4 linked regions of the Drosophila melanogaster genome follow. The protein of the gene in region 4 interacts with the protein of the main gene of each other region in a pairwise test. Each region holds a gene or a part of one and is shown on either strand. Other genes may lie near its edges. The genes, in order: Sar1, Lcp65Ag3, bocks and AstC-R1.

Evidence for each region.
Region 1: the proteins of AstC-R1 (region 4) and Sar1 interact in a two-hybrid assay, tested with the Drosophila melanogaster proteins (one large-scale study listed by BioGRID).
Region 2: the proteins of AstC-R1 (region 4) and Lcp65Ag3 interact in a two-hybrid assay, tested with the Drosophila melanogaster proteins (one large-scale study listed by BioGRID).
Region 3: the proteins of AstC-R1 (region 4) and bocks interact in a two-hybrid assay, tested with the Drosophila melanogaster proteins (one large-scale study listed by BioGRID).

What each region holds. Positions count from the first base shown.
Region 1 is NT_033777.3:22,354,983-22,361,211, reverse strand, and holds Sar1 (Secretion-associated Ras-related 1), read right to left. Parts: upstream 4,528-6,229; 5' UTR 4,414-4,527; exon of another isoform or gene 4,165-4,413; intron 3,696-4,164; exon of another isoform or gene 3,682-3,695; 5' UTR 3,584-3,681; coding exon 3,541-3,583; intron 2,841-3,540; coding exon 2,721-2,840; intron 2,650-2,720; coding exon 2,584-2,649; intron 1,688-2,583; coding exon 1,452-1,687; intron 1,376-1,451; coding exon 1,259-1,375; 3' UTR 501-1,258; downstream 1-500. Other genes in the region: JMJD6 (jumonji domain containing 6), read left to right, coding at 1-143; rdhB (retinol dehydrogenase B), read right to left, coding at 5,087-5,263, 5,385-5,520.
Region 2 is NT_037436.4:6,129,815-6,132,889, reverse strand, and holds Lcp65Ag3 (larval cuticle protein), read left to right. Parts: upstream 1-1,900; 5' UTR 1,901-1,960; coding exon 1,961-2,079; exon of another isoform or gene 2,080-2,140; coding exon 2,141-2,339; 3' UTR 2,340-2,504; downstream 2,505-3,075. Other genes in the region: Cpr65Au (cuticular protein 65Au), read left to right, coding at 809-942, 1,285-1,471.
Region 3 is NT_033777.3:9,588,942-9,593,005, forward strand, and holds bocks (bocksbeutel), read right to left. Parts: upstream 2,062-4,064; 5' UTR 1,989-2,061; coding exon 789-1,988; 3' UTR 527-788; downstream 1-526. Other genes in the region: P58IPK, read left to right, coding at 1-341. UniProt on the Drosophila melanogaster protein: Inner nuclear membrane protein. May have a role in maintaining the structural integrity of the nuclear lamina. During pupal development, plays essential and redundant functions with the other LEM domain proteins; MAN1 and Ote.
Region 4 is NT_037436.4:18,558,598-18,563,311, forward strand, and holds the start of AstC-R1 (allatostatin C receptor 1), read left to right. Parts: upstream 1-1,660; 5' UTR 1,661-2,107; intron 2,108-4,714.

The sequences.
Region 1 (6,229 bases), on a different chromosome or scaffold from region 4:
CGGAGGAGGAGGAGAGCGACGATGGCGGCGATTCCAACACGGACAGCGGCCAGGAGAGTCTGACGGCCAAGAAGAAAAAGAAGCGGCGCATGGCTGGCGGCGGCTCCGGGTCCGGCTCCATGGGCGGATCATCGCGTTCCTGATCCAGGGAGCGGGCCAAGCGCAAGGGCTTGCTCATGCGCCTCTTTCAACGCCAACTGATGCTGCTGAGAGGACTGCCCCGCCGCTGCCGGCTCAGTTAGCACTGAGGTCGCGATCATACTCTGCAGAGTTTTGTGTATTTTTCTACTTGGACCAGCATGTTTGCAGCTCCTGGATCCCGTGCTCGCCCTCATCGAATGCCTGCTCCCTGATTTCAATAGATGCTCCGGACGTGACTCATTAGCGTAAACCCTAAATGCAAATAAATAAATGAATCCAATATGTTTGTACATCGCTGGGTTTCATTCAAGCTCGGCACATAAATCCAATGCAAAACAACAATAGTCACCAATTTATGTATTTTACAAAATTACTTTTCTCCGTTTTATTTAGAATTCTGTCTGCAAACAAAAATGCTTTTTTATATAAATTGCTTTCCCTTTCGTATTGTATAAAAGAAACAAAGTACATCGATGACATGCAACTTAAAATTTTTAGCTAAACTAAGGTGTACCATTTATCGGAGGTCGAATCCTTATAGGGATGTACATAATGTTTTGCGGCCAAAGTAAACTATTTAGGAAATCAATAGCGACATTTACAATTCATAAACTTGAAATAAAGGTAGGTGGCTACATTTTATTGGCGAAACAGCGTTCGTTGAAAGCACATGCTCTTAAATAAATCACCTTTAATTTGCTATAATTTGTTACTCATAATTATTATTAAAAGTTTCCCTTGCGCACTCCGCGCATCCTTCAGCTCCTTACAATGTATCCCGATGTTCCAGATAGAAAAGTTGTCTTCACTTTGATGTTGTGTTCTGTTTTTCCCGCGATTTCTTGTGTGTTACAGATGTACATTGTATGGTTTTCTGTTTTTTTTTTTTTATTATTATGAAATATTTGTAATTGTTTTGTATAAATTAGAAATTGCGCACGCAGCTTCGTTTTGCTTAAGGTCTGACGGTTTGAATTGGGCTGGGTTCACATCCCTTGGGTTCTGTTCTTTCTGCGGTCTCTAATCATTTTTGGAAATTTTGTAGCCAAGTTTTCGGTTTTGAGTGTTGAGTGGTGTTCTTGAAAATATGGTGCTGGTGGTGGTTGCTAATGCTGACTTAATCGATATACTGCGCCAGCCAACGGAAACCCTCGCCGTAGCCCTGTCGCTTCAGCACGGAGCACATGAACAATTCCAGAGGACGGCCGGGCAAATCGGCGCGTGCAACTTTGCCCTGCAAGTCAAATGGATATCAATTATGTAGCAGGAGTAAGGAGGGAGGGAGGGAGGGAGGTGGTTTTGGTGCTCACCTTGCCGGTTGTTAGCTGATACAGTCCGAACACGTTTCTCAGCTCATCCTCGCTAGCCGCGCCGGGCTTATCGATTTTGTTGCCCAATATGAGCACGGGGCAGTTGGACAGCGCCTCATCCGTGAGCAGCGAATCCAGCTCGTTTTTGCTCTCCTGGAAGCGGCCACGGTCCCAGGCGTCTATTAAGAAAACGATGGCGTCCACAGCAGGGAAGTAGTCCTTCCAGACGCGTCGTGCTGCAGAAATAAGTAGATATGTCTCATAAATACAAAAGCAGCAGTTAGTCTTTAGATGGGTTAGTCTTCCGATTTTTGAATCAAGATTTGCAAGGGCACCTTAGTAGTCGCTGCTGTTGACCAACAATCTGTAATTTATATAACATCGCTAGAATAACAAAGCGCAAGTCACTGATATCAGGCACAAATCTGATATCTTTCCGCCGCTAAGAACCTTTCTACTTTAGTGTACCTAGTAGTTCCGAAGCGAAAACGATCGTCACGATGACGAGCTGCCTTAAAATGAGTGCTAGAGCTTCGTTATCAAAACAACTGGATTTCACGATGTTTGATCACTTTTCATAATGTTCATATTTATATACATATATCAACTGCATGTATGCGAGTTTTTCGTTTCTGTTTGTTATCTACATAGAGAATGTTTGCCTTCATAATATTAATAATAAATACGTCGCCTATATGTGCACAGTGGTAAGGAAGATAGTATTTGCGAAAATCAACAAGACACTAATTGCTTTCTAAACATAAATGAACATATTGATTGTATGCAATGGGTTAAATATTCTAGTATTCTGAGGTCTTCATAATCACAGTTGAGATAAGATGATAATTGAGATCTCTGGATGAGCTGCTTGTGACCACTGTGGTGGCATTGCTTCGAGTGTGTGGCGCTGATTGATCGCAACAAATGCTACGAGTGTAAGACGCACTGGCTGTATGGGTGACCTGATGCGCTATATTTCATGCTGATTGTCGTGGATCTGGCGGCTGCGCTTGCTTAGCCCTGCGATATTTGCATACTGGTCTATATTTAGTCGTGGGCACGTACGGAAAATAGCAACGATTTGGATGCACATTCACATTCCCCTGAGCTCTGGTCAAGATTAGGCACTTACCCTGAGTGTGGCCACCCAAGTCGAATGTAGTGAAGCGCATGTTGCCGATGGACAGCTCCTCGGATGCTGCAAGTCAATCATATTAGTTAATTAAAGTCACACACATAACCACTATTTAGTCCATGAAGGAAACTCACTTGGATGCAGTGTGGGCACATGCTGCGCCAGCTTATCATCTTTGAGCATATGCAAGAGTGTGGTTTTGCCAGCATTATCCAGGCCCAGGAACAATAATTTGCCAGACTTTTTCCACAGACCTGAAAACGAGAAAGTGTGTTGAATAGCCTTTTGACTTACGCGTCATCAATTAATATACGCAGCTAAACTAACACTAGTGGCGGCTCACTTGTGTTTGCCCAGCCACAGACAGCCGAATATACATTTGAGGTCGAGACAATAGCTCTTGGACTTCGGGCTAATTATTACCTTTGCTACCCAAAATGTTCGGCTATCATTAACCTGATTAAAGATCAAGCTATAACAAAAATGCGCTTATAACAACTGCTATCAGTTTGGCCTGCACTGTAGAACAGTACTTTTCGTATGGAATAATTTTAACTTTTAGCATTACAAAGCAAATAAAAGTGTAGCAGCCATCTGGAAGCGAGGAAAACCCTATCAAAAATGTCTGCTTAAATAATTGTGGCTGAAGAGTACATGGCTATGCAATCAAAATACCTTTTACAGAAGTGTATATTGTATATGCACCCTAGAGTAATGCATATTCAACGCGCATTTGTTGTGATAGAGAGACCTAATGGAAAGTTATAAGCTTTCGACACCTTATAGACACAGTTTAACCTCTAGATTTCGAGATAATCGCACGTTTAGAGCTATCACCACGACCTCCGCTGTACAGCCGTCGAATTTGGGTTTCTTTTGTGCGGCTGCCTTGTTGGCACTCGTTCAAGAAACGCCGCCCCAAGGCACAAGGTCGGCAATGGCGACGTTGCTTACCCAGGTATCCCAGCACTCCGGTGAACCAGTCCCAGATGAACATCCTGATGGTTTCGTGTGGCTATCGGTTGCGGGTGATTGGCTCCAAGAGCAGCTTGTGTGTGTTTATTGTGGGGGGAAGAGAGCTGCTGGGCTAGACGGCTGCCGGATCGAAAAGAGATATGGCATGGATAATGGGTTAGTGCGCATTTCGACTCAAGTTCAATGTCCAGCCACAGAAACACAATAAGAACAACAGCAGCGGCAGCAACAGCGGCTTGGTGTATAGGAAATCAATTTTACGGCGGCTCAACTTCCGGAACCTTGACACACATACAACAACACGCACACTCGAGCGGCGGGGACCTTGCGGATATAAGGAAGCAAATTCCTCCTGGCGGCGAAACATTCACTTGGGCCCATTATTTAGTTAATTAGGTTAAAACCTGTTCTTTGTCAACTGGGCAGCACTTTCTTTATTTCATTCTTTCTCTGCCTCCTGCCCTCTCGCTCGCTCACTGTCTGTGTGTGTGTGTGAGTGGCACTGGGTGTGCGCGTGTGTGTGCGTGTGCTGCCTGTCTGTGTGCAACTACGTGGTAACATGCATTATATTATACTTTATAATATCATTTCACGTTGGAGCACATTTCGTAATCACACTTTGGACGGCAGGTGCACGCCGATCTAAGCCGCACCCTCGAAAAAAGCATAAAAAGGGCGCAGACATCCGGACTTCCGATTCGAATTCGAATTGAGATTCGGATTTTGCACTACGTGGACGCATTTCGGAATTTAACTGCCCGCGGCTGCGGGTAGCTTGCGTTTGATATGGACTTTTACTTGCGCACTTGCTGTTGCCGCCGCGCGTTCGTATCGGTATTGGCGGCTGGTTACCGTGCGTCTGCTGTGTGTATTAATTGTCAACCTAATTCGCTTTTTCTACCTCACGTTTTTATTGGAGTCAGTTCAGTTTTTTTTAATCATAAGCCCCAGTGTGACCAATAAGCGAAAGCTGTGAAATATCGATGTTTGTTTCGTACCATCGATTTTGGGGGTAGCACGAGTAATCGATGTTTTGGTGGATAACTCTGCTAGAGCGAAGCGAGCCAAATCAAGAGTGGTTGTTGTACTCGCTAGCGATAGCTGTACAGCCCTGGTCTTTTGACTCAATCTGGCAGCCCTACCGCAAGGTGGCAACTCCACTACATGCGCGGGCAATTCCAATTCAAATGAATGAATGTATAAATGCATTCATAATGTTGCCAAACTATTTACACGCATTTAATGTTATATCGATTAGAGAATATGCAAAATATTATAAATGTTTAATTATCGTTTTATTGCATTTTTATGTTATTTGTAATAAGATGTTAATACAGATGTTATCTACAGATAACATCTTAAAGAATATAAAGTGTCGAAACAGTTGCTTGAAATGCAATAATGTAATTTTTTATATTTAAAAATATGTACATTTGTTCTCTTATTACATAGAAGAACATATACAAAATGTACAAATAATATCGTTTTGGGTAAAATGTAATTCTCTTGAAATTCAAACTAAAATTCAATCGACCTTCCGCATCTGCTGCAGGATGATGTCCTCCACCTGGACGCCATCGGGAGTGTTCAGCGCATACAACACGGCCTTGGCCACATCCCTTGCCTGCAGTTTGGGCAGCTCGGCTACCGCCTGCGAGTAAACACTAAGGAAATCCGTGTCTACCATGCCCGGGCAAATGCTCTGCAATGGAGGGATAAAAATGGAGAGGGTAACCAATGAGCAGACGCGTCATGTTTGCCGCATTTCCCGAGGATTAAGATGGAGGATGAGGCGCGCCATGTATGCACTGCATTTAACTTACCGTTAATTTAATATTTAATTTGAGAAAATGTATTTCCTGGCGCACCGTTTGGCAGAGGGCCGTAATTGCATGCTTCGTGGCCGGATAAACGCTGAATAAGGGCACCGGCACTTCCGGAATCCGATGGCCAAGCACGCTGTTGTCAAATGTTGTCCATACACATGTCCAGAGCAGAGCGAAGGAGGAGGCGGAGGAGTAGCATGAGCATCGTCCACATGCCAAGGTATGGCGGTGCGTCGGGGATGGAAAATAAAGACAAAGCGGGGTCACAAACGGCGGGTGTGCGTGGGTAAATAAAGTCAACACAACGGATTTCAAGCACTTAAAACGGCAACAAAAAACAAGTCGCCGTCGAACACCTACGGAAAATGATGGTCAGCAGCTGACGGGACATTTTTGCGTGCATTTTATGCAAACATTGCGTAAACTTCTTTTAATTTTACCCCCACACCTGACGAAAAAGCAAGAAAAGACTTAAAAACTTGTGCTATAATATTTTGATTGAATGCGAAATTTTTGGAAAAATAAGGGAATTATAAGTTACAACTAGTTTTTATATTTGCTACAAGATATTTAATTTAATTAAACTGATATTTTTATGAAGGCATTCATTCGAGTATCCTTTTTTTCGAGTGCATTTGGAAGAGCACGGGGTGGTACTTACGGCTCTGAGCCGGGGGCATTAAATGCAAACAATTGCCAACGTTGCTGCAGATGCTGGGCGGCCGGCATACCCTTGCAGTTTTTAATTAATTAAGTCTTAATATTATTGCACTGACATTAAGCGAAATGCATATGGACGACCGCCCAACTTCCACTGCCCACCTGTCAAGCCCCTTGACACA
Region 2 (3,075 bases), about 12 Mb from region 4:
GGTCGTAGTCGAAAAAGAACCGACTGATTATAGATATTCGAAGAATAGAAACTGGTCACAGCGTGTATACGTGACCGCTGCACGATTAAATGTTTGTAAAATACTCTGATATTTGATATAGAATACTCTGATATGTAGAATATTCCATGCTTGTTGGATTGCTGATTGATATTTTCTATTAATAATTAATGTATATACCAATAGTAGTGTACACAAAGCATTTGCTGAGGCTTTACTTATTCAAACATTAGATGATAATATGAGAAATGACAATGGCAAAATCACAATGCACAATAATAAAAAGTTCGAATACAGAACTTTATGCATCTCGACTAGAAGACATCGTTTAAACCTGAGTTTATATGTATATAGCAAATGGTGATCGTGTACTGTTTTTTATACAAATTTTCACCGTTCTATCTGTTTGTTTCAAACAAACATGTTCACGATTAGCTTAATTAACCAATAAGATTTGAGAATTCAAAGGTGATGGCAAGGTAAGGCGTCATTCTGTCTATCAATTGACTGTCGACAAGGTAATTGCATACATTACCATCTGTTGGATATACCTGCATGCACGATTAGTGCAGGGTACTTAGAGTGTTAATCTGTAATTAAAATGTGTTTTATTGAATGTTTGCATTATAGCTGATTTCTTTATTTTTAATTTGTTTTATTATTTTGCATTTTTCGCCGATGAGGACATAATCCAGAGATTTCGTATAAAAGGGCATCAGATGATCGCATCGCAGCTCAGTAAAGTGCAGCTAGCTGTGACGGAGACTCTGAAAAACTAATTCTTTCCGCAATGCAATCGAATTTCATGTGGCTGGTAGCCTTCCTGGCAATTGGTATCTGTTTGGCCTTTCCCGCTGGTGAGGATGCCCAGGCGGAGACCATCAAACTGGAGAGCGAAAACACGGGCGATAAATATTCCTTTGCGTAGGTATTGCCCAGAAATGATTTGGACATAATGCATTTAATTGTAAAATTTTTTAACCTTAAACTGAGATACTATTACTATTTTGCGTAGAAACGGCTTGACTATTGAAACTGATGTATATAAATATGTACACATATATAAACTTTATTTAGTTGCACATGTCTCCCTCACTGCGTTGCAAACTTCTGACTGATATCAGAGGTATAAGCCTCTGCAAGGGCAAAATTAAAGAGGGTAGCTTTGAAATGCTTAGTTGTAACAGGTGTTTAATTATTCGATGTTCCTATATACAATTTCAATCAATAATTAATTTATTAAAAACAATTAACATCGAATTCCAGCTATGAGACGAGCAACGGAATCTCACGCACTGAGACCGGTGAGGTGAAACCTGGAGCCGGCGAAGAGGATGGTTCCTTGTCTGTCCAGGGATCGACCAGCTGGTCAGCTCCAGATGGCAAAAAATACGAGATTAGTTTCACGGCCGACGAAACTGGCTACCATCCCAAGTTCAGGCTAGTAGCCTAGGAGATACCTGGATGTATAATGATTCCGGATGCGAATAAATAAGTTGACTTTATTTATCCAATGTAAAAGATTCGTAGAATTAGAAAAGTAAATAGAAAAAATGTATATATTTGAGGAAGCTCCCGAGTTTTATTGACGTCACTAAGACTGGCTGGATTATTATAAATATAATAAAGCTCAATGAATTGTTAAAAATTTGAATAATGAAATATTTATGAACGCGATTCTTTTTGGACTATAGTGTTATTAAAATTTTATATTAGGCCTTTTAATGCTCCTACTTCAAACGAAAATGAAATCCAAACCAGACATTTCACATTAACATTGATTTTGCTCATTATGTCTTGTACACGTTTGACTAGTTCGGCCGCGCTTTGAATAATCGCCAAGAGGGTGCCATCTATAAAAGGGTTTACGCGGCCGTCCATAGTTACCATTCGACTTGAACTGTTCGATAGCCGCAGATCTAAGCACCAAACAACAATCACCATGAAATTCCTGATTGTCTTCGTCGCCCTCTTCGCCGTGGCTCTGGCTGCTCCTGCCGCTGAGGAACCCACAATCGTGCGCTCTGAATCCGACGTTGGACCCGAAAGCTTCAAATACGAGTAAGTTGCCTATGAGAAATGACCCAAAAGGATACCTAGCTGACACTGACTTCCTTCTTAGCTGGGAAACCTCCGATGGACAGGCTGCTCAAGCTGTAGGTCAGCTGAACGACATTGGAACTGAGAACGAGGCTATCTCTGTGAGTGGATCCTACCGCTTCATTGCTGATGATGGCCAGACCTACCAAGTCAACTACATCGCCGATAAGAACGGATTCCAGCCCGAGGGTGCTCATCTGCCCGTTGCCCCCGTGGCATAAGTGAAGTTGCTTTCACTGTAAGCAGCTTTAAACCCACCAATTCTGCAACACTCTTTGTTATCTTCCCCAACACTTACCTACTTTCGGTTTTCCCTTTTAAAAGGGAAAGAATCCTAAGTTACAGAACGCAGTTTGTTGAATATTAAAAAATGTAGATTTTATATGAATTCGTTTTATTTTAAATGTGCTTTTCGCTCAAAAGGTCGGAAACGTCGTTTTTTTTTAAAGGCGATTATTTGAAAATATTTTGTTAAGTTGTTCAGATAAATAGAACTAGATTCTTATGGCAAACAACGGACCTAATTAAAGGTTTTTTTCCATTAAGCAATTCTTAAGAAGTGTAAATAAGTATTTTGAAAGAATAGGTATTTTTTTCATTTAGAAAATTATTAATTAAAAAAAAAAACATTTTAGAACTGAAAATACAATTTTTTATTATGTATTTTATTACTCTAACCGCTAACATACCCAGTCGTCTTCAGGCTTTATTAGGTGTTCTTATTACATGAACATTATTAAAAAAGAAAAAGTTTTTGGGCCCTTATAATAATATTAAAAAAGAATATATTTTTCCTATTTTTAACTTATCTTAACAAAATCAAACGAAAATTTCCAGTATGCCTTAATAAAATAAAAACAAAAAGTTCTCCCAAATGCATAGTCGGCTTTGCGGATTTAAAGTGCATAGTTTAATCATAAAAGACTCTTAAGCTTACTTTCAGGCTATAGCTATTCA
Region 3 (4,064 bases), on a different chromosome or scaffold from region 4:
AGAAGCTGCAGAAGCAGTCAGAGCGCAGGGATTACTATAAGATATTAGGCGTTAAGCGTAGCGCCAGCAAACAGGAGATTGTGAAGGCCTACAGGAAGGCGGCGCAAAAGTGGCATCCGGACAACTTCCGCGACGAGGAAAAGAAGGTGGCCGAGAAAAAGTTTATTGACATTGCCGCAGCCAAGGAGGTTCTCACGGATCCCGAGAAGCGTCGTCAATTCGACAACGGCGAGGATCCATTAGATCCTGAGAGCAATCAGCGTGGCGGCTTCCATGGCGAACATCCGTTTGGACACTTCCAACACGGGTCGCCGTTCCAGTTCAAGTTCCACTTCAATTAGTCAGCCAGCAGCCATTTGCTTTGTGATGTCCTAGCCGCGATCCCCGATATCCTTTAACGATTTTACACTGTTTTGTTCATTTAAATGGCGTGTAAATAGTAGCATAAAGCATAAATAAACCCATGGTCCGTTGTCAGAGAGTACCACAAACAAACACAAATCGCAACAAAACACACTGAGCACTTACATTTAATTAGTTTATTTAATACAATACAATAATTATAATGTAGTACATTTTTCTAATTATGTATAAAAAGAAACAATATGCGAGAACAAGCAATTAAAGACTTGGCAAATTGAGTTGAATATTTGTTAGTTTTGAACATGTTTGGAATTGAAGTAGTAGTCTTAAGGTGCAAAGTCGTCATAAATATTCCTTCGCTGTAGTCTGTGGTTGAAATGCGTGGAGTAACCAAAACCAAATGTATTCCGCGATATGAACGCTTCTCAGGCGTTGGGTGTCAATACCACGTACACCATGGTGGCCAGCATCACTGACACTACCAATATTAAGTAGAATTTGAGATTATATTTTTGATCCAATGACACCGCCAGTGCACGGAACTGCGCCATAGGCGAAACCTGATCGTGGTGTCTTACCAGAGGTTTTCTAGCCAGCGGCGAGAAGCGATTCTTTTGGAAATGGCTATTGATGGGTACTTCCTCGACTTCGGACTCGCTCTCCGTCTCCATGGGTTCGCCTGCGTCATTCGGCTGATCGTAGAATTCATTTAGTTGTGGATATAGAGTGTTTACTGCGGTGGTCGGCTGGAGCAGGCGACCACGGGCCAGATTGGATCCACTAACTGGAACACTCTGTCGCTGGCGAATGGGTGCTGGAGCTGGTGCTGGGCCACCAAAAGGCCTAGCGGATCCGCTGAAAGTGTTTCTTGGCGAAATGGGTGAAAGTTTTGGATTGTACGTAGATGACTCCTCGTAGCTGGTTGAGTTTAAGTTGGTTTGAGTCAGCAGGGGACGCGAAAAACCCAAATCTGTGGGTCTGTATGTCGAAGGTTCGATGCGTGGCTCGTATGTGGGAAGTGCGTGAAGAGTGGCGGCTGGCACATGGGGTCTTTCGTAGGTGTAGCTGCGTGGTATATCCTCCTGTTCGTACAGCGGCTGGTCAACTTCGCGTGTGTAAGATGTGGTCAAAACTCCGGATTTGGCTAGAGAAACATAACGTCTAGGCTGCTGGTCCTTGGAGTAATTAGGCACCGGAGAGTCCACCATGTAGGAGTCGTCGTCCTCCGACTGGGAGCTCATATCCGACACCGTGGTAGTAGTCTGCACAGATCTTCCCGAGATCGAGGTGTTGTCTAGTCCATAGGCGATTGTGCGACGACTTTGTTCGCTGATCTTGTTGTTGTTGCTGCTAGTGCGTCCTGCACTCTTGCCGGGCGTACGACGCACTGGCTCCGATGTGGGCGTCGTTACCTGGCTGCCGTGTACGGTCTCACGCCTCGGAATCGCTTTCTTACTTGCAGATTTGCTTTTGTTCAGCGGAACCCCGGTGATTTTGGCCTTTAGTCGGCGAATTATGACGCTGCGGGTGCTGTCCGTCACGGGAACACCGGGCAGGCCGTGCTCCAGGCACTTGGCCAGCAGCTCCTTGTTGCCCAACGTGTCCAGGTAAGAAAGGTCCGACATTATTTTCCGCCGTGGTGAAACTCAAAACACACAAAAATAGCAATGTCGTCACAATGTTGTCTATTAGTGATGGAACGGCAGCGATAGAATGTTCAATCTAAGTGCACGCCTATCGATTGCTGCTAAAGTAATGTTGTTTGACAAACTATAGCTAGATTTCATATGCTGGATGAGCTGTGCACGAAAGTAAAAACAATTTTTTAACATCAGACAGAAGAACAAACTACTTGAAGAAAAACTTAACTCGATATTTTATGTGCAATCGCCTCATGTGCAGTGTTATAAAATGCCTACAACTAAACATTTACAGCAGTGCTGCCAGACCTGGTTGGATACGCTTGCTATGGTTTATTTCAACTAACGCCCGACGGTCACACAGTTAGTTTTATGAAAATCGAACGCGCAACAGGTGTTCAATCGCAAACAAGACGCTCGAATTAAACGAATCGCCGCGCGGAAAGCGCTCGCCAAGCCAAAGAAAATCCCCAAGTCGCAGTGCGGAAAACTGAGGAGATATAGCATCGTAACATAAACAGTGGATTGTGGAAAAACAATCGTGAATCATTTGCACCTGTTTGGCGGCCAATATTTCTTCACCTTTTTGCTTTTCTGCGCCTGCGTGTGTGCCTCACTTCGCTTATTACACTTTTGTTTACCTCAATCGCGGGTGTTATTAAAGTTTTTGGCATCGATTTCGAGTAGCAAAGCAAGTGGCTGGAAACATTCGACAATTTGCTGGCTGCAATTGCAGCATATTTTCCATTTAGCCAAGCAAGAGCAAGGGAAACAAAAACAGCAACAACAGCAGCAGTAGAAGCAGCAGCATAAACATAAACCAAAAAACCGGTTAAAGCGGACAAGAGCGAGAAAGGCGCCCCAAAAAAGAGCAAGCGGGACAAAAACAAACACATAAAACGTGAAAAACAACAACGAATCAAAGTAGATATAAATACTAAACGAAAAAAAAAATATCCTCGTATTTGGGTTTTTGTTTTTTTGTTAAGCGCAAACAGAAAATAAGTGCGTTTGTTCTTTGTTTAAACGTGTTGACATCGTGTTTTCCCTGTAAAATTCCTTATCGGCCGATCGAATCGAAAGTGAACGAGTAATTGCCTTTCTGGTATTTGGTTTATTACATTTCGATATTGCTATTGCCCAAACTCAAACTCTGCGCGTGGCCTCCTTCTTATCGGCAGTCCAGTTCACCAGTCTACTCCACCAGAAGAACTACCTGTTGCCGCAACAATTAACACCAGGTGAGCAATAAAACCAACCCTTTTTACACTTCTGCAGCTTAGAATGCCCAATAGGACCGACCACCGGGTATTCTTTAAATATTGTTTACGTTGCACTTATAACGAATTCCAAGGAATGTACTCACAAAGAGCATTTGAACAATTGTATTCATGAAGATATATTTACTCATAATTAAGAATTCATCTAAAAAGAAGCATCGGGGGTTGCAAGGAAGAAATGGGGTTTCAAACTAAATGTTAATATCAGTGATTTAGGCACATACATATTTGGTGCTATTTTTGGAGTGGCTTGTACATGTGAATTTGCTGATTTCAAGTAGCTCCAAATGTTATTTATTGTTACCAATATAATTTGTGTTGGGCATTTCATTCTATTCAGTCGGTCATTGCCTATATTTGGTATTGCTTGATAGCCAAGTCACGTGAGAGGCCTTCCATCGATAAACCAAATCACAATTGTTAACAAAAGATTAGCCCCATGCCCATGACATTAGGCAACCCAAATTGGGGGAATTGGGGAATTCGCCACCGCAGTTCATTGACACAACCTTTGGCTGCTGTTTTCAGCTGTTTTTGCTGTTGAACCCGCTTAACTTTCACTGCAAACGCGGCTGGCCCAAAAGCGGCATAAATCAGCACGAAAACAACACACGCGACAAGAAAATGTTGTAAATGCCAAAATTGAAATGCAGTCGCAGGTTAATAAAATCAAATTTGTTGCCCGCTTTTGTTTTCTCGTTTTCATCGCTCGTTTTCCATTGCCATTTCCATTTCCATCTCCATTTCCATTTTGATTTAATTTAATTTTACTTATGTAATC
Region 4 (4,714 bases):
GCAAACTGTCGGAAATTCAACCAGAAGGATTAAAAGTTTTGCTCAAAAGGCCAAACTAAAGTTTGACTCCGAAGAACGTCGACAGTTGCCATATTTTCTGTGTCACTCTCTTTCCAAAGTTTCTTCTAGATATCCCCCAACTCTTACCATATGTTTGCCAGCTTTTTTTTCACTGTCATCTAACCAAGTCGAACTTTTTTCTAAACGAAAACATCAACTGGCTCCACATGGAAATTATTGCAGCAAATTTCTTTCCAAGTTGGGTGCGAACAAAAACGGAAAATTTCCTGTTCTTCTAATGACCAACAGAGCAAGGGAGATAACTCCGGGTTTGGGCCAGGTGGATAGTTTTCCAAGTGCACGGCAATTAGATTTCGACGCCTGGGGCTTCTTAAGTTGGAGCTCTGAGACGGTGGCAGTGCTGAGATATGATTTATTTACCCAAAAAATGTAGGAGGAAACTAAAGATTGGTATCTGAAACGCAATCACTTTCCAAACTTAATTTAAATATCTGATAAATTTGCAAACTAACTTTGTAAACTTTGGAAAAAATATGTATGAATGATTTATATCGAGTGTGATGTTTGGTAACGAGGCAAGAACATATTTTTAATGTTTTTAAGAATATATATATGATATAGCACAGTCTTGCTATATCATATCCTAAGTAAATTGTGAGAGCATGCATTTCTTGTCCTCCTTTCCATGTCATTACTGATTTCAATTATTGCAAACAACTGTATGCAAAATGCATGCAATTAAGGCTAGAATAATCAATCAGCAATCAAAGCCTTTCCGAATTCAAGCTAATACACGTACATTTGCAACTATAATTATAACATTGACTGTCCCAATACCGATATAATTTTAAATGCAGTGCCATACCTGAACTACGAAACAATTGTGCCGAAAATAATATGTTATGCAAACACATTTGTGTTATTGGAATTTGGTAAAAGTATAAATAACACATTACGTATACGGCCGGTAAGCCATCCCATAAACGATTTTGAACATTTTAATTATAAGGAATTATAAATCTGATAAAATAAGGGTATATGCTCGCTAATATATGTTAAATTTAGAGTAATTAAATTTAGGTCCAAAATAACTGGAAATAATTTTTATAACAGCATGATACCAAAGGAAGGTAAAACTTTTTAAAATTTCTTGTTTTAGCATGAGATAGATAACACATGGAAGTAGTTTTGATTAACCTATAGCGACAACACATCTCAATATTATACTTTGATAATCCTTGTTCTTATATCCTTCTAAATGGCACCAGTAGAATCAACAAGCACTTGCCCAAAATGGCAACAGAACTGCAAGCGCTAACATTCGACTGTTGTTGGCCAACGAAAGTGAGAGTTCGTATAAGAGAGAAAGTGTCGGCGGGAGAGTCTCCCTCACCGCGTGCTCTCCCGACCAACTGTTAATTGAGGAAAATTGCAGCTGGGAAAACGGCAGCAGACCGCAACACGCATCAGGCATCAGGCCAATCGGGCGACGAACCTGAAAGCCGAGCACCGAGCGCAATTGTGGATCCGAGCGACTCTGCAGTCGGAAAACTCGCATCGGAAAATTCGCATCGGAAAACTCGCATGCACCATAACAAAATTCGCCGGCAAATGCGGCGCGCAGTATGCAAAACAACACCGGAACGTGCAGTTCAGTCACTGTATCTGAATCTAAAATAATAATATAAAACCAAACTACGAGCAAACCCAGGGTAAAGTAAACAAAAACTTCGCCAGCGCCAAAGACCAAATTCGATGAACGTGCGCGAAAAACTCAAACCAAATAGGGTGAGAGTGGCGAAAAAGTTGGGCGGGTGATAGATAACCCCCGGGGGCTTTTCCTGCTGCCTGCATCCAATCCAAATTAGCGGCCAAAAACGCAAGGAAAATAAACAAATAATTTTACTACCAGCCGCCGTCGAATCACAAATAAATCCGACGTAGAGTGAAAAATAACATTAGCGTCGCAATCCGAGGAATTGCAGAAACGCTTGCCAAATATTTTGAAAACCCCGAAAAGTGCGTGGTGTGCCATTTTATCGGATTCGAAAGGATGAGTGGCTAGATGACACAATATATTCAAGTGGTAAGCAAAATGTGCCTCGAGGAGCATCGAACGGGTTGCCTTGTGTGCACATCTAAAACGATTGGGTGCTATCTATCTCCAATGTGATTAGAAATATGTATGTACTATATAGTAAATAAAAAATAAGCTCTCCTCATCTACATATAAATATAATCCTAATTCTAGTTTTTGAACTTAAATTAAATATAAATATAGTTTAACTTGAAGGGTTTGCAATACTTTCGCTCTGTGCTTGGGTTTTCCATTTTCAACGTTCAAATGTTTGTGTGCGTTGAAATTTATCAGATAACTGAAATTCTGTGCGAATAGCAATTTGTAACTGTTGAATGTCTTGCGTTGAGGGAAAGAGGTTGGTCTTCCTACGAGGCGATGGGATGGGTTGAGGAACGAGGATGCCCGATGATGTGGAAACTGAGAAGGGCTGACCATCGACGGCAGCCGCAGTAAACCAGAAAGGATTTTGGGGAAACGAAACAAAATTTGACAAATTAGGGAATGCTGGAATGGTCGTAAATGTTATTCAGAGAAGTGCTATGCTGAGAATAAATGCAGAAATTGTTACGGAGACATGTTGATTAATTCGTTATGTGAGATGTGCAGAATAAAAATGCCAATTTAAGAAAAGAAATGCCAAGGCCACAAGTAATTTTCTTAATAAATATCCTGCATACATATTAAAGTGCAGCAGAAATTATTTGTTATTGGCTCATTACTCCTAGGGGTGTGGAATTTTGTAAACTTGATTTAATTGTAAGTAATTCCCATTTTATTATGAGAAAGTTAACCAAGTGGTTCAGAACCAAAGCTATGAGCTACTTACAATTTTTATAGAAGCCCTCTATGTTGTTCAGCTATGAAACTCAAGTTCCTTTAGCCTCCGTAGTTCCCCCTTCACACCAGATAACCCGGCGAATGAGCTCATCCAGCTAAGTAAAGTCCACTAAAACCGAACACCCCCTCCCCGCAAGACCAACTAAAAGGCACAAGGAGGCGGAGATAGCCACTGCCACCCCATGACCATAAAGCCCAATCAAAAGGCCGTTGCACTCGCTGACTAACGGACTAACTGAGTGAATGACGTGCCCTGGCCCAATCCTTCAGTCAATCGGTTTGATGGCCTGAGTCCGAATGTGGAGCTAGAAGCAGCACGGGAAGACAACGCAAACAGCAGGCGAAAGTGAAGGAGCAAGTCACGGAGGAGGAGCAAACGAAGCGTTTCAGCAGCTGCTGCTGCGACTCTGCAACTCGGGGCGTGTAATTTGTCAGACAGATTTCTTTTAGCGCCAGGACACAACCCCTCCCATCCAATCCAATCCAATGCTTCCTACACACCCACACTCAGCAATTGCCCACCCACAAAAAATACCGCCCACGTCATTGCAACAAAACTGCTTCCTTCCTGACTTTTTTGGCCATGCTCTTTGAAACTGAACTGGGCGTCCGACGAGGCTGGGATTGCTCTTACAAATCAGATATTCCCTTTAATTATATAATTTACAAATCTTTGTTCGTGAGTTTATACATTACATACATAAAATCGGAAGTGTTTTAATTTGCTTTTACTTTTGCATTTAAAAATGAATTATAATCAAGTTGATATAGTATGCAATTTTTTAGCTTGAAACTATAAATTGTACACTTTTAAATCCGTTTTATTTTATAATTTTAAATCAAGGATCTTAACAGAATAGACATTAAAAATTGTAGTCTTTCATTATAGGTTTGCACCATTGGTGACATATTTTGTCAATGTTTCTGATACCAAGTAGCATTTGGCAAAAATGTGGTTAAGATAAGAAAAAATGTATAAAACACCCCGGACTTTTATTAAAACCCATTGAATAAGTGAAAATGGGAACAGTCTGTGCAAAGGTATTGAAAAAGGAAGGGAAAGGAACGAGCCAGACATTGACATTTCAGTGCAAATGAAGTGATAAAACGTAAAGGCAAAGCGGCGTCAGCTAGAAAATTGCCAAAGTGGGTAAAGGAAGTGTAGGGAAAAGTGTGGAAGAGAGAGACAGACATAGTTGGGGAGAAAGAGACGGACGACTGAGCTAGATAGAGAGGGCCTGGCAGACAAAGCGCGTCGAAAATGCGTCTAATTTGATGGAAGCGATGCATGCCTTAACCTTTCGTCGGCGTCAGGCAAACAGACAGCAGCAACAACGAACACAACGATGACAGGCACCAAATGATAGCATTTCCTCCCAACTCAAAGGATCCGACTTAGCCAAGAACAAGGACACTGGCAAGGGAAAGGGAAGGGGAAAGAGTAGGAGAAGGGACCAGCCAACTGGGAGAGGATGAGCACCGGATTCAAATGGCGGAACAAGTGCCAGAGATGCTGATGTGGCGCCTCCTCAGCTGCTGACAACAAATTGATGGCCAAGGATGCACAGAAATTCCTCGGAAATTAGTCAACGCACAAGGGATTCCCACAAACTTCACTTAAAGGGGAAACCGTTCTGAAATATTAGACCGTTGTTAATATCCCAATCCTTCATGCTTTCCCAAAACAAAATTCACTTTCTTTCCTTAATCAGAACGAAAAAATATCCAAAAAAGTCCCTCAAAAATACAAATTTAGATTTAGTCTTTATTTTATCA